Linked DNA regions of Drosophila melanogaster. The protein of the gene in region 2 interacts with the protein of the main gene of each other region in a biochemical or structural test. Each region holds a gene or a part of one and is shown on either strand. Other genes may lie near its edges. The genes, in order: gwl and endos.

What was found.
Region 1: of the proteins of endos (region 2) and gwl, one has a biochemical effect on the other in vitro, tested with the Drosophila melanogaster proteins (2 studies listed by BioGRID).

What each region holds. Positions count from the first base shown.
Region 1 is NT_033777.3:18,744,248-18,750,960, reverse strand, and holds gwl (greatwall), read right to left. Parts: upstream 4,592-6,713; 5' UTR 4,390-4,591; coding exon 4,240-4,389; intron 3,725-4,239; coding exon 2,891-3,724; intron 2,831-2,890; coding exon 2,672-2,830; intron 2,601-2,671; coding exon 2,472-2,600; intron 2,296-2,471; coding exon 1,293-2,295; intron 1,223-1,292; coding exon 957-1,222; 3' UTR 601-956; downstream 1-600. Other genes in the region: Epg5 (ectopic P-granules autophagy protein 5), read left to right, coding at 1-17, 77-389; PGS1 (phosphatidylglycerophosphate synthase 1), read left to right, coding at 5,168-6,232, 6,291-6,710.
Region 2 is NT_037436.4:14,029,007-14,033,667, forward strand, and holds endos (endosulfine), read right to left. Parts: upstream 2,701-4,661; 5' UTR 2,383-2,700; exon of another isoform or gene 2,302-2,382; intron 2,225-2,301; exon of another isoform or gene 1,997-2,224; 5' UTR 1,987-1,996; coding exon 1,801-1,986; intron 1,415-1,800; coding exon 1,241-1,414; 3' UTR 573-1,240; downstream 1-572. Other genes in the region: CG6650 (uncharacterized protein), read left to right, coding at 3,222-3,364, 3,419-3,637, 3,727-3,891, 3,951-4,661.

The DNA.
Region 1 (6,713 bases), on a different chromosome or scaffold from region 2:
GAGGTTATAACCAACAGGTTCGTTTTTCCGATTTATGAAGATTGAACAAAGAAAATACGCGTGGTTTACATTTCAGACGAAAGGTGTTAACTCGTTGCTTGGCTTGTGTGATCTTTTCGCTGTTTCCGGCCAATCGGGACCTTCGCATACCGTCAGAAGAGTACGAAAGTGCGCTCCGGGAGCTGTCTATGCTGCTGGCCAACAAGAAGTTCACCGACATCAAGCCCTTGATCGTTCGGGCCGTTAGCCTGCTCAAGGAATCCACATTTCCCGATATCCGGGCCGTACCTCATATGGTCTGCCGACTCATCAGCATCTTCTACGAGGAGAGCTACCTGACAACCATTCCAGAGGTCTGGGACTTTGAATTCAAGTTAATGGCCACGTAGCTTACCGACCAAGTGAAATATTCTAAACATCCTAACAGCCAGTTGTGTTATTTTCCAGGTGTTATATATCATCTAACTAGGTATAGGTTAAATAAAGTGATAAATTTTAAGCAATTTTCAAAATTGCATAAAATGTATAAAAGTGAACATTTATTTATACATACTTTTTAGCATAATACAAACATGGGGCCAAACACTGAAACTTTGTTTTAAATCTTGTAGACTATAACTTTATTTGATATACATGTCTCGAAAGTGCATACTTGAAGCTATTTGTTTAAGCGTAGTTACAATAACAAAATCGACATCAGTACCTGTATATAAACTCTTCACTGACCATGATCATCGACAATCATGACAGTAATAATCCACTAAATGTACACGAAAATATAATGATACACTTGAATGAACTTTAAACAAAATATAAATACGTAGGGCTACACGAACGATAACAGATGAACATTAAGGGTCTACTCTTAGGTATTGCTACATGAAAATATAAATAACGATAATACAGTGCTCGGTACGAGCACGCTGACACGGAGGCAGCCGGGCTCCGCTTGGCAATCATTCTTCTAGGGCAAAATTGGACAGCTGCAGGTGCTGAAGATTGTTGCGCGCATCGAAATATCCCGTATCAGTGGGATTGTCTGGTGTCGGGACAAATGGGGGCTCGGTATTGCCTATATTCTCCCAGTCGATGCAAGCAAAGTGACGCATTTGTTGCACTTCCTTTGCGGCCGGTCGCTCATTGGGATCCATGGTCAGGAGCAGTTCCACAGCCTCCATGGATTCGACGGATAATGCCTCATCACCTTCTGGCCATTCGATGTCTGTGAGGAATTGGTAACAAAAATATAGGTATAATATTTGCAAGAAAACTCTTGAAATAACAAAACTCACTCTTATTCAGAATGTTGTCAAATACTTTCTGAGGTGTCTCGTCGTTAAAGGGTGGAATGCCGGTCATGAACTCGTAGAAACAGACGCCCAGAGCCCACCAGTCGACGGCCGGACCGTGACCTTGCTTCAGCAGTAACTCCGGCGCCAGATAATCAGGTGTGCCCAAGATGCGCTCATTAGACACGCGAGCCCCGCGACGCACTGATTTCGGTGTGCGGAACGGGGTATTGATGTTAACGTTTTTCGGCGTCTTTGGTAGATTGCCGGCTCCATGATTGATAGGCGACATCGTGGGATCGTCGGACAGTTTCAGATGGTACTGAATGCCTGACATCTTATCGGCGGTCGCATGCTCCCGTTTCTTGTTCTCAATGGACAGCGGAAGAGCGAACCGAGTGGCCTTGAGCTTTCCAAGAAGACCACCATCCCGACGTGGCAACTTCTGTGAAGATACGGGCGTAGAGAAGACCACGTTGGCCACATTTGCTTCCGGACCAAGCAAATGATTTATGGGCATTTCGTCATCGGATAAAGAGCGCACCTTTAGCACACCACGGATGGGCGAGGAACGGGCCTTGCGCTTCTTGGGCGTGCTGCTGCCAATATTAAGGATTTCAATTTCCTGTGTTAGTCCGGTGTTGGTACTTCCATTGCTTGAACTGCAGCCATCGGTATCCATGCTGGACATGTTGTCGGAGCGATTGACCAAATTGATCTTTCGCTTCATGCCGCGCAGGAAGTCGGGGCGTTTAAAGTGCTTGGACAGATTCCGAAACGGCGAGTTCATGTTGATGCCACTCATCTCGTTGCCGTTGGTCACGTTATAACTGCGCGAGTAATCTGAACAGCTAAAATCCTCCTTGGATTGGCTTAGGTTGTCCACATTCTTCTCAATCGACGAAGCCGTGCTCTCGCTATTCAGATTCAAGTGGCAGCTGGAATAGTCGTCGCCCTTGCGACTGGACACCCCTGAATCCTCCGGCCCCTTTGAGATGCGATTTCGCTAAAGGGAACAGTAGAGGTAGTTATTAACTGAACTACCTACATATGTGGTATACATATCTTTTAACCTATTTAATGTTGGTTAGTTGTAAAGTTAGTTATAAAATACTAGTATTTTAATACAGAAAGGGAAACCGCACAATGGACAGACACACACACATGCACATGCCAACGCACCTCGTCGACCGATCGCCTGCGCACCATGGAAAACTCAAACGAAGCCTCGATTGCGTTATCTATCTTGGGCAAATGTTTGCCATCATTGGTGGCCATGTTGCTGCTGTCTTGCTCGGCCAGCTTGCAGCCCTTTCAGAGAATCAACCATTTATGCAAATAAATACAGAGATTACGGGTTTGGCCGATTTCCAGCCACTTACCTGACAGGGTGCCGCATCCAAGACGAATTCCACGCGCCGCTTGCTGGGGATCGCATTGCCCGCAGCAGCACCGTCCTTTGACTCCAGTGGTGGTGAGCACTTGCTCAGGTCGGCCGAGTTACAAGTGTGGAACGAACAAGACGAGCTGCTATCCTGGGGCTGAAGATTCGGAGAATGATAGATGAATAAATCCATTTTAATTGCAATATGTTTACCCACATTTACGTTTGTAGTGCAGGTATGAGTAATGGATTCATTGGCCTCCTCGGCAGAAAAGAAGGGGGAAACACCAGATATCTTGCTATCGCTCGTCTTCTCTGCATCATTGAGCGAGGTGTCGCCCTCGCTATCCGACAGCTCCATTATCAGACTATGCTTGTTGATGGCCTGCAGCAAGTGGGATGTCCCCGTGGCCACCGAGCCCATTCCGTTGTTTTGTCCACTTGAAACAGAACCGAAGTCATTCAGTTTCTTCTCTGACCCAAAAGACAGGTGCGAAGTAAGCGACAAAAGCTGGCCCGGCGTGCGGGCGTTTAAATTCGGTGAGCAGTTTATAAGGTCTGATATTTCCAGATCTCTTCGCATATCGATTTTGCTCAACCCAAAATCAGTAAGCTTCACATGGCCACTGGAGGAGAGCAACATGTTGTCCGGTTTAATATCTCTGTGGACAATTCCGTGCTGATGCAGATACTGCAGCGCCATCACCATCTCGGCCACGTAGAACCGGGCCGTGGGCTCGTCAAAATACCCAAACATGGCCAGCAGTGACTTGAGATCCCCGCCCACCATGTACTCCATCACCAGGTAGACGTAGGAGAGCGATTGCAGGGAGTAGAAGAGACTGACACAGAACTGAGAGCGGGAGAGGGCCAGGGCATTCCGCTCCGTGATTACCTGGGACACCATGTTCTTGTTGATCATCTCTGACTTGCGCATCACCTTGATGGCGAACAGCCGCTTCGAGTCGTTGTTCTTGTAGCCCAGGAAGACTTTTCCAAAGGCGCCGCGGCTGATTGGCTTAATGATGACAAAATCCTTGATAGTGGGAAGCTGTATAAGAAAGCGAATGTATCCATTACTATATAATAAAGTGACCTAAGTGGTGGTGGTAATTCTTATAGCCCAAGGCAGAACAAAGGAAAATAATATAGCTAAAGTTAGACATAGAAAAACTTCAGTTCTAGATATAAAAAATAAAAAATCTTAAAAAAGCATATGTGTATATATATAATTGGATAAAAGAAGATATATGTACATCAATAGCCAGTAAAAGGAAATGAAGAAAGGAGCTATGTAAAAAAAACAGAAGATAAATAGAACTGTAAAAATGTTTTTGAAATGGAAATCCTATATAACATCACATTTGAACGTACATATGTTTTTCGTTTTTCCTATAATACATAAACATAACCTTTTCATTAATTCTTGAACATGTACTGCCCTTTTTTAATCAATTTACATAAACACTGTGTTTAGAGGCATTTCAAATTTTCTTGATTAGCAACCGTGGCTAACTGTAAACCACCCACGTGTGGTAATCGCCAGTTTGCGATTCCTCCGCGTACCTTGGCATTCTGGGAGTGATTCTCCGGCTTGGTGGTAAGGATGTTGATCTTGTCCAGCAACTGCTCACTGTCGATCAGCGAGTGGGTCTTCTTGGGGGTTTTGTAGTCGATGTGGACATCCGATTGCGAAGTCGCATCGGCGTTTTCCATATCTTCCAGGTTTCCGACGGTCAGAGTGCGATTTTCTCGCGGTTTCGCACAATATATACAATTATCGTACAGAGATATACAATGTATAGAATTCGATATAGACCTGAATGCTATTAGCTTGTTTATTGCACAATTTTTATTTCAAACACACATTTAAAACAGCGCGTCTATTTTCTATGACCTGAACTAGAGGTGAAACTAATTCGATTCTTAGTATTATCGATGTTTCTAGAAATTTGACAACATCGATGTTATTGCAGTTTAAAATTAAACGATTTTTTAAACTAAAATTAAATATTACCAAAAAGAAATGCATATTAGTAAGATACCGGTTGAATATTTCAAGTAAATTTATTCAAATATTTCTTTATGCATATATATAAAAGTAGATATACACAAAAATGTTAAAAATGTAACAGTTAGTAACTATTGATAAATGGTTAGGCTTTTATTAATTTGATTTAAATATTATTTTTTTTTAAGAAACACATAGCAGGATCACCATATCACCATCACCATTATGAACAGTCGATAATTCCCGATAGCTATAAATTGTTATCGAATCCCAGCTCGCTTTGCAACACTTGCGTTCCACCTGGAATTTATTTACGTGCTGAAATTCGAAGTTTTTTTTGTGATAAAACAGCACTCCATGAATGAAAGTGTGTTCCGGATACAGCCAAACAGACAGTGAGCAATGCGCCATACCCTGTCATCAAATAGCAGCCGCCCAGAGTGAGGATCCGCTTGCCAATCCGTCAGAGAAATCCCCGCCAAGATGATGCCATACCTTCGCCGCCTTTTCAGCCAGGAGCTCTCTCCGGCTGCTCAGGGCGATTTTCTGGGCTGCTTGCAGCAGGCGCCCAGTGTCCTGGCCACCGGATTCCCTGGAGCACCCGCACTGGAGAGCCTAAGTTGGTTACACAACCTAGCGCCGTGCTTCCCGCTGCGAGGCGATCAAATTCAGGTCATCCACGAGCCAAAGCACTTCTACGAAACGCTGGTGCAACGAATCGGTCAGGCCAAACGCCGTATAGTGCTGGCCAGTTTGTACCTGGGCACTGGGCAACTGGAGAACGCAATGGTTCAGACGTTGCGTCACAGCCTGGAGCAACAGTCTGCCCTGAGGCTCAACGTGCTGTTGGACTTTACACGCGGCACGCGGGGAACCCTCAACTCCAAGACCATGTTGCTACCCCTGGTCCGCGACTTTGCGAGCCAGGTGCAGCTATCCCTGTACCATACGCCTGATCTGCGCGGGATGACAAAGCGACTAGCACCGCCACGGTGGAATGAGCTTCTCGGACTACAGCACATGAAGGTCTACCTGTTCGACGATGCCGTGATCATATCAGGCGCCAATCTGTCCAATGACTACTTCACCAACCGGCAGGATCGATACATACTCATTGAGGACAAACCGTTGGCGGATTTCTATGCGCAGTTCATCGAACGCGTTCAAGAGTTTAGTTTGGCAGTGGCGCCAGATGCCAGCGAGGGACTGCACCGCAACTGGCGAATACTGCCGTACGAGGGCACCAAGGAGCAGTTTATCCAGCTTGCCCGTAAACGTATTTCCGATTTAGTGCAGGAGACGTTTCAGCGGCAGGCGCGAACTAAAGAGCAGAATCCGCAGGCAGACACATGGATTTTTCCGCTGCTTGAGATGGGCCAGATCGGCATTCATCACGACAGCGTGGTGACCAAGCGGCTGCTCTCCAACTGCTTGTCTGGATCACGGCTGAAACTGGCCACCGGGTACTTCAACCTGACGCAGGAGTACATGGACACGCTCACGCACAAGTGCCTGGCCCAATGCAGCATACTGATGGCTCATCCAAATGTGAGTGGCTATCAGTAATTAGTTGACCAATAGTAACCCGATTTAATTCATTTTCCAGGCAAACGGCTTTCAGGGTGCCAAAGGACCAGCGGGCGGAATTCCGGCTGCCTACACACTGATAGCCAAGAGTTTCTACGAGAGCCTGGTCCGCCGGAAGCAAAACCACCGCGTTAACTTCTTCGAGTACGAAAAGCCCGGCTGGACGTACCATGCTAAAGGACTGTGGTACTACCTGCCAGAGGCAATACTGCCAAACCTCACGCTGATCGGCTCTTCGAACTTTGGCGAGCGATCGGTGAACCGCGATCTGGAGACACAGGTGTGCCTTGTGACGGCTAATAAGGATCTAAGCCAGCGGCTGCAGGCGGAAGCTGACCGGCTGTACGATCTGTCACAGACGGCGGAGCGGGAAATCGTCCAACGACCCGTTCCGCGATGGGTCCAGGCCGTCGTTCGCATATTCAGGAATTTCTTCTAGGCT
Region 2 (4,661 bases):
TGCGATGCGGTGCTTATCGCGTAGCACATAACAAATGCAATTTGGAACCGAAAAATTGCATTTAAAGATCACTTTTTCTCTTTTATCACCGCTGCGCCTTCCGCCTAGAGTTGGTACAAAACACTGTTTATGCGATACTATCGATAGTTCCAGAAGTGTGGCAATATGGATGCTTAATCTGCTGGTATCGATTGGTGGAAAACTTGGATATTTGATTGATTTCATTTGTACTGTGGTCCAAAAAGCGATTTTATTGGTTAAAACTTTTTTAATTGGGCCTAAAACTCACTTTGCAAGTTCGATTAACTTTTAACTAAAACACGATGTTCGTATGAAAATATATGAACCCATCTATTTGTATTAAATATTGTGTATTTCCCACCTATTTTGGTGATTTCATTTCGTTCCCGTCCAATTTGAACAACCAATTACCATACCACACCGCTCGAAGGAACGTTTCCTAGTTAATTAGACTCCACTCCGGGCACTTATAATTTAAGTAAACATTTGTATGGCACATTTCCGATTCAGTTGTTGGGTTAGCGCCCCAGGAAATCAACACATTTATAAGTATACGTACATACATTTATTTTAGCTCTGCTTGATTTACAAATTCATTTTAACTCGACTGTTTGGTTTTTGCATCAAAAATTTAGCTCTGCAAGCAGCAGTACCTATGTTATTATCAATTAGTTGGTGAAATTCCGTCAACTGCTTATAGAATGAATGCAAAAAAAAAAATATAAAAACATTTTCCATAGAACATGGTGAACTTTTAAAAACTTTTGATGGAATCCCAGTAATGTACGAGAACGTGTGTGTGTGTGTGGCTGGCTGCTCCAACTTAAATTTATTATGCTCGTAATACTTACAACTATGTACGACGAGGGTAAGTTAGTTTAATGTTACAAAGATAGAGATATATATAACTGTTGCAATAAATTTCGCGCTGCTCGGCTCGCCATCTTCGCTTCCCCGGCCTGAGAGATGGACTGATGAGTTGATCTTGAGATTGATTGGCCAGTGCGGATGGCGATTGAATTTAACGGGGGAAACACGGAACATGGTGCTAGAATTTCAGTTTAAACTGTCGCGAAATGCCCGCACAATCCGGCAGCAGCCATCTTAGCATTAGGTTTTTCATTAAAATTAGGTATAGAGCATTTGAAGTGGGGAACGGAGAACTGGCTGCACTTGAGGTTGTGGATACAGTAGAGGTGAGTGTTGAGTGGTGAGTAAATTAGCTCGTCGCCGGGAACTTGTTACAGGGTTGGATGATCGAAGTCTTGCGCGCCGGCACGGTTTCGGGCGTGGGAATGGCCTCCCCGGTGGTCACCTTGTTGGCAAAGACCTGCTTGACGCCGCCACCCTTCTGCTTGGCCATCTGGTAATCGCCCGAGTCGAAGAACTTTTGCTGTGGGAAGGATATGAAGGAATACATATTAGATTTCTCTTATATAATCAAATAGCTTTTTAGAACTAAAACGGAGATATCTTCCAAATGCAAACTTAATGTAACAATCTGATTTCGTTTACCAGATCATCAAGTTGATATAAACTATGCGCTGTGATTATTGAGTTTCATTGATTTCAGAAAGCAATTGCCAAATAGTATGGATCTTAGAATAGAGGAAACATGAATTGTTATTTTCCTTTAAACAACGGGTACTAAATACTACTAAATAATATTATTATTATTATTTTTAATTGATATTCATATTACAGGGTTTGGGTATCCCCGAACACCGAAAGTTAGTAAACTTATTGTTTGATTGTTTTCGAATTGTGCTAATCACTTACCCCCTTCTGCAGCCTTTTCTGGAGGAAGGCCGAGTGTCCGCCCGGCACGCGCATTCCGCTGGGATACTTGGACTTGAGTTTCTCCTCCTCGATCTTCTCGAGATCCGTGAGGTTAGCCTGCTCGGTGGTCTCGGTGTCCTGGGGCGTGGTGGCCGGGCTGTTGCTGTTTTCTTCCGCGGAGCTCATTGTGTGCTGCCTACGGGTGATAGTACTGGGATTAGCCAAGGTGCGACAATGGCGACACGGGAGAACTTAAATGGCAAAAGGAGGGGGAGGCGGCGGAATTGCAGAGGGGCAGCGAAAATCGGAGGCGCGCAAAATGCCAAGAGAAAATTGCATTTCATTACACACACACACAGACACAAACGCGCTAGGCTCGCACAAACACTGGCACGTAAATCCAGGGCAGGCGCACGCACACTTGCTAATATATGTGGACGCGAAATATTATAGTAATAATCGGATGTGCAAATATTGTTTTAATTTTTTATATACACCAACCACTACGCAGGCGATAAGGCTTGTGTGTGCGTGCGTTTGCTCGTCGATGCGGTTGTTTGTGTGCAAGGCGTAGTTGCTCACCTTTTGCCTGTAAAATTTGACGATTAACTGTTGTTTTCCTTCTCCTTTTGTTCTTCACCCGTCTATCAGTGTGTCTCCTTCCCTGGAATCGAATCGGTTTTGCCAATTAGCGTGCCGACTTAGCGGAGAGTGCTGCTATTCGCTAACGATTCCGGCAAATGATGTGCTGTTCGACTAAATCAGGCTGTTACACGAGCTATGTATTTGGTGTGTGGAGAGTGACTGAAATTCCCAAGGCGACTCAATTGTAAAATTATTTTATCACTTTACAGACGCAAGACTGTCTTCGATAGCAGAAGGCGTTATTTCGGAACATATCGTTTATCGAAACTACAGTTGCTCAATACTGAACTGTCCAGCTTCGAGTAGCTGTGGCTCAAACCATTGTTGTCATCGATAAGCAATTGCAATTTTATTTGTTTGCTTAAAAAATTAAAATATAAACTACGAGGATCAAATAAACATACATATTCCCAATATGTTAGCGAAAAAATATGCTCAAAAAAAGATGTTTAAACACAATGTAAGCTGTTCTATGCATTGAACAAATTAACACATTGAGAGGGCGCTCTTATAAGTGCACATTTCAATTTAAATTTATTTTAATATATTCAAATATAGTATAGCAGTATAGCATTCAAATGTAACTGTTGGTTGGACTATCGCTGTAGTCCAAGAACTGCAGATAGTGTCATCGCTAGCTTTGAAGCATCTCAAAGGAAAAAGAGCGATAATTCTGATAAGAAAGTTGGCGTAGCCGGAAGGCGGATTGTCACATACAAAATAGTTTGGAAAGCCCAAACTGAGGCGAACCAATCACACAACAATCCACGCCCACAATGACCGCCCTGCGATACATGGGATGGATCACCGGCTGTTCCGTCCTAACGGCCTTTGTTTCCATAATTTGGCAGGCATTCATCGCCCTGCAGACGCTTAACAGGACGACTGTCCTGCTCACCGGTCTCCTGGCAATCGAGGGGTGAGTTCATTCGGCTACACTGCAGCACTAGCTATATATGCATTTGTATTTCAGATCCCTGAAGCGGACCGCGTTGGAACCGGCACCCAAGGTGGCCATCGGCTACGGAGCCTGCACGGACTTGCAGATAAACGCCACTGAATTTCTGGATCGCTACTATGGGCGCCGGATTCCAGTCGCAGCAGCCACTACAGGATCTCGGGCGGTCGTGAACAACGAGGACGAGCTCTTGCAGTCCTTTGCCTATTACTTTCAGAACGGCGCTGCAGCGGAGTAAGTTGCATGGAAGGATCTTGGATATCCAATATTTTATTGGCTATGCAAGTTACTAACAAAGTATTTCATACTGGTCCACTTTTCAGGCGAGTGATGGCAAACAGTACCCTCTTCACACAGCTGGTGGGCTACGCCAAGGTGATGGACAAGGAGAGGATCAATTGGTACATGGGTGGTAACGCCCCACTGATGGCCGTGCGCTTTTTTATGGAGGGAGCTCAAGTGCTACTGGGCGCCCACATGTCTAGAAAGTAATTACCTATCTGAATAACAAATTATTTCATGGAACTTAATGTAAAAACTTCTTCAGGCTGCGGCCACTGCTGCCAAAGGAGATTCGTCTGGCTGGTGACGAGATTCCAAACGATGACATCCATCTTATTCTGGAGTACAAGGCTGGTGACAAATGGGGCCCATATGTGGCACCTCGCGCCAATCGCTACATTCTGCACAACGATCGAAATAATCCGCATCTGCGGGCCGTGGAGCAGTTGACGGATGCTTTGAAGATGTATCAGCCACAGCTGTTGGTTGTCAGCGGGCTGCAAATGATGGACATGTTCACCTTTAAGTCTGGTGAGCGAGAGGCGCGCCTGCAGCAAGTACAAAGGCAACTAACCAGCCAGCCGCAGGGCACTCTGAACCACTTCGAGATGGCTTCTTACGTGGAGTTGCAGCTGCTTCAACAGCTTCGACACTTTGTACTGCCCTACGTAGACTCCCTGGGAATGAACGAACAAGAGCTCTCTAACCTGCAGCAGGTTCTTGCTCACGGACGGACGACCTTAGCCACCGACTGGAATCCGCGCATAGCTCACACCCTTGACCAGATGCGGCAGGTTTTCATTAGTCTCCTTGAAGATTACGAAGACCGAAGCTCAAGCGATGCCAAGCGTCGCTCTATCTCGCGCATACATGTGCACACGTTGGCCTATCAGGCGATCCTTACCACAGCGGGCTCCAAGTGGAAAAACACACGTGCTGCCGCTGCAAAGGCAGCGCTCACTGCTCACCGATACGT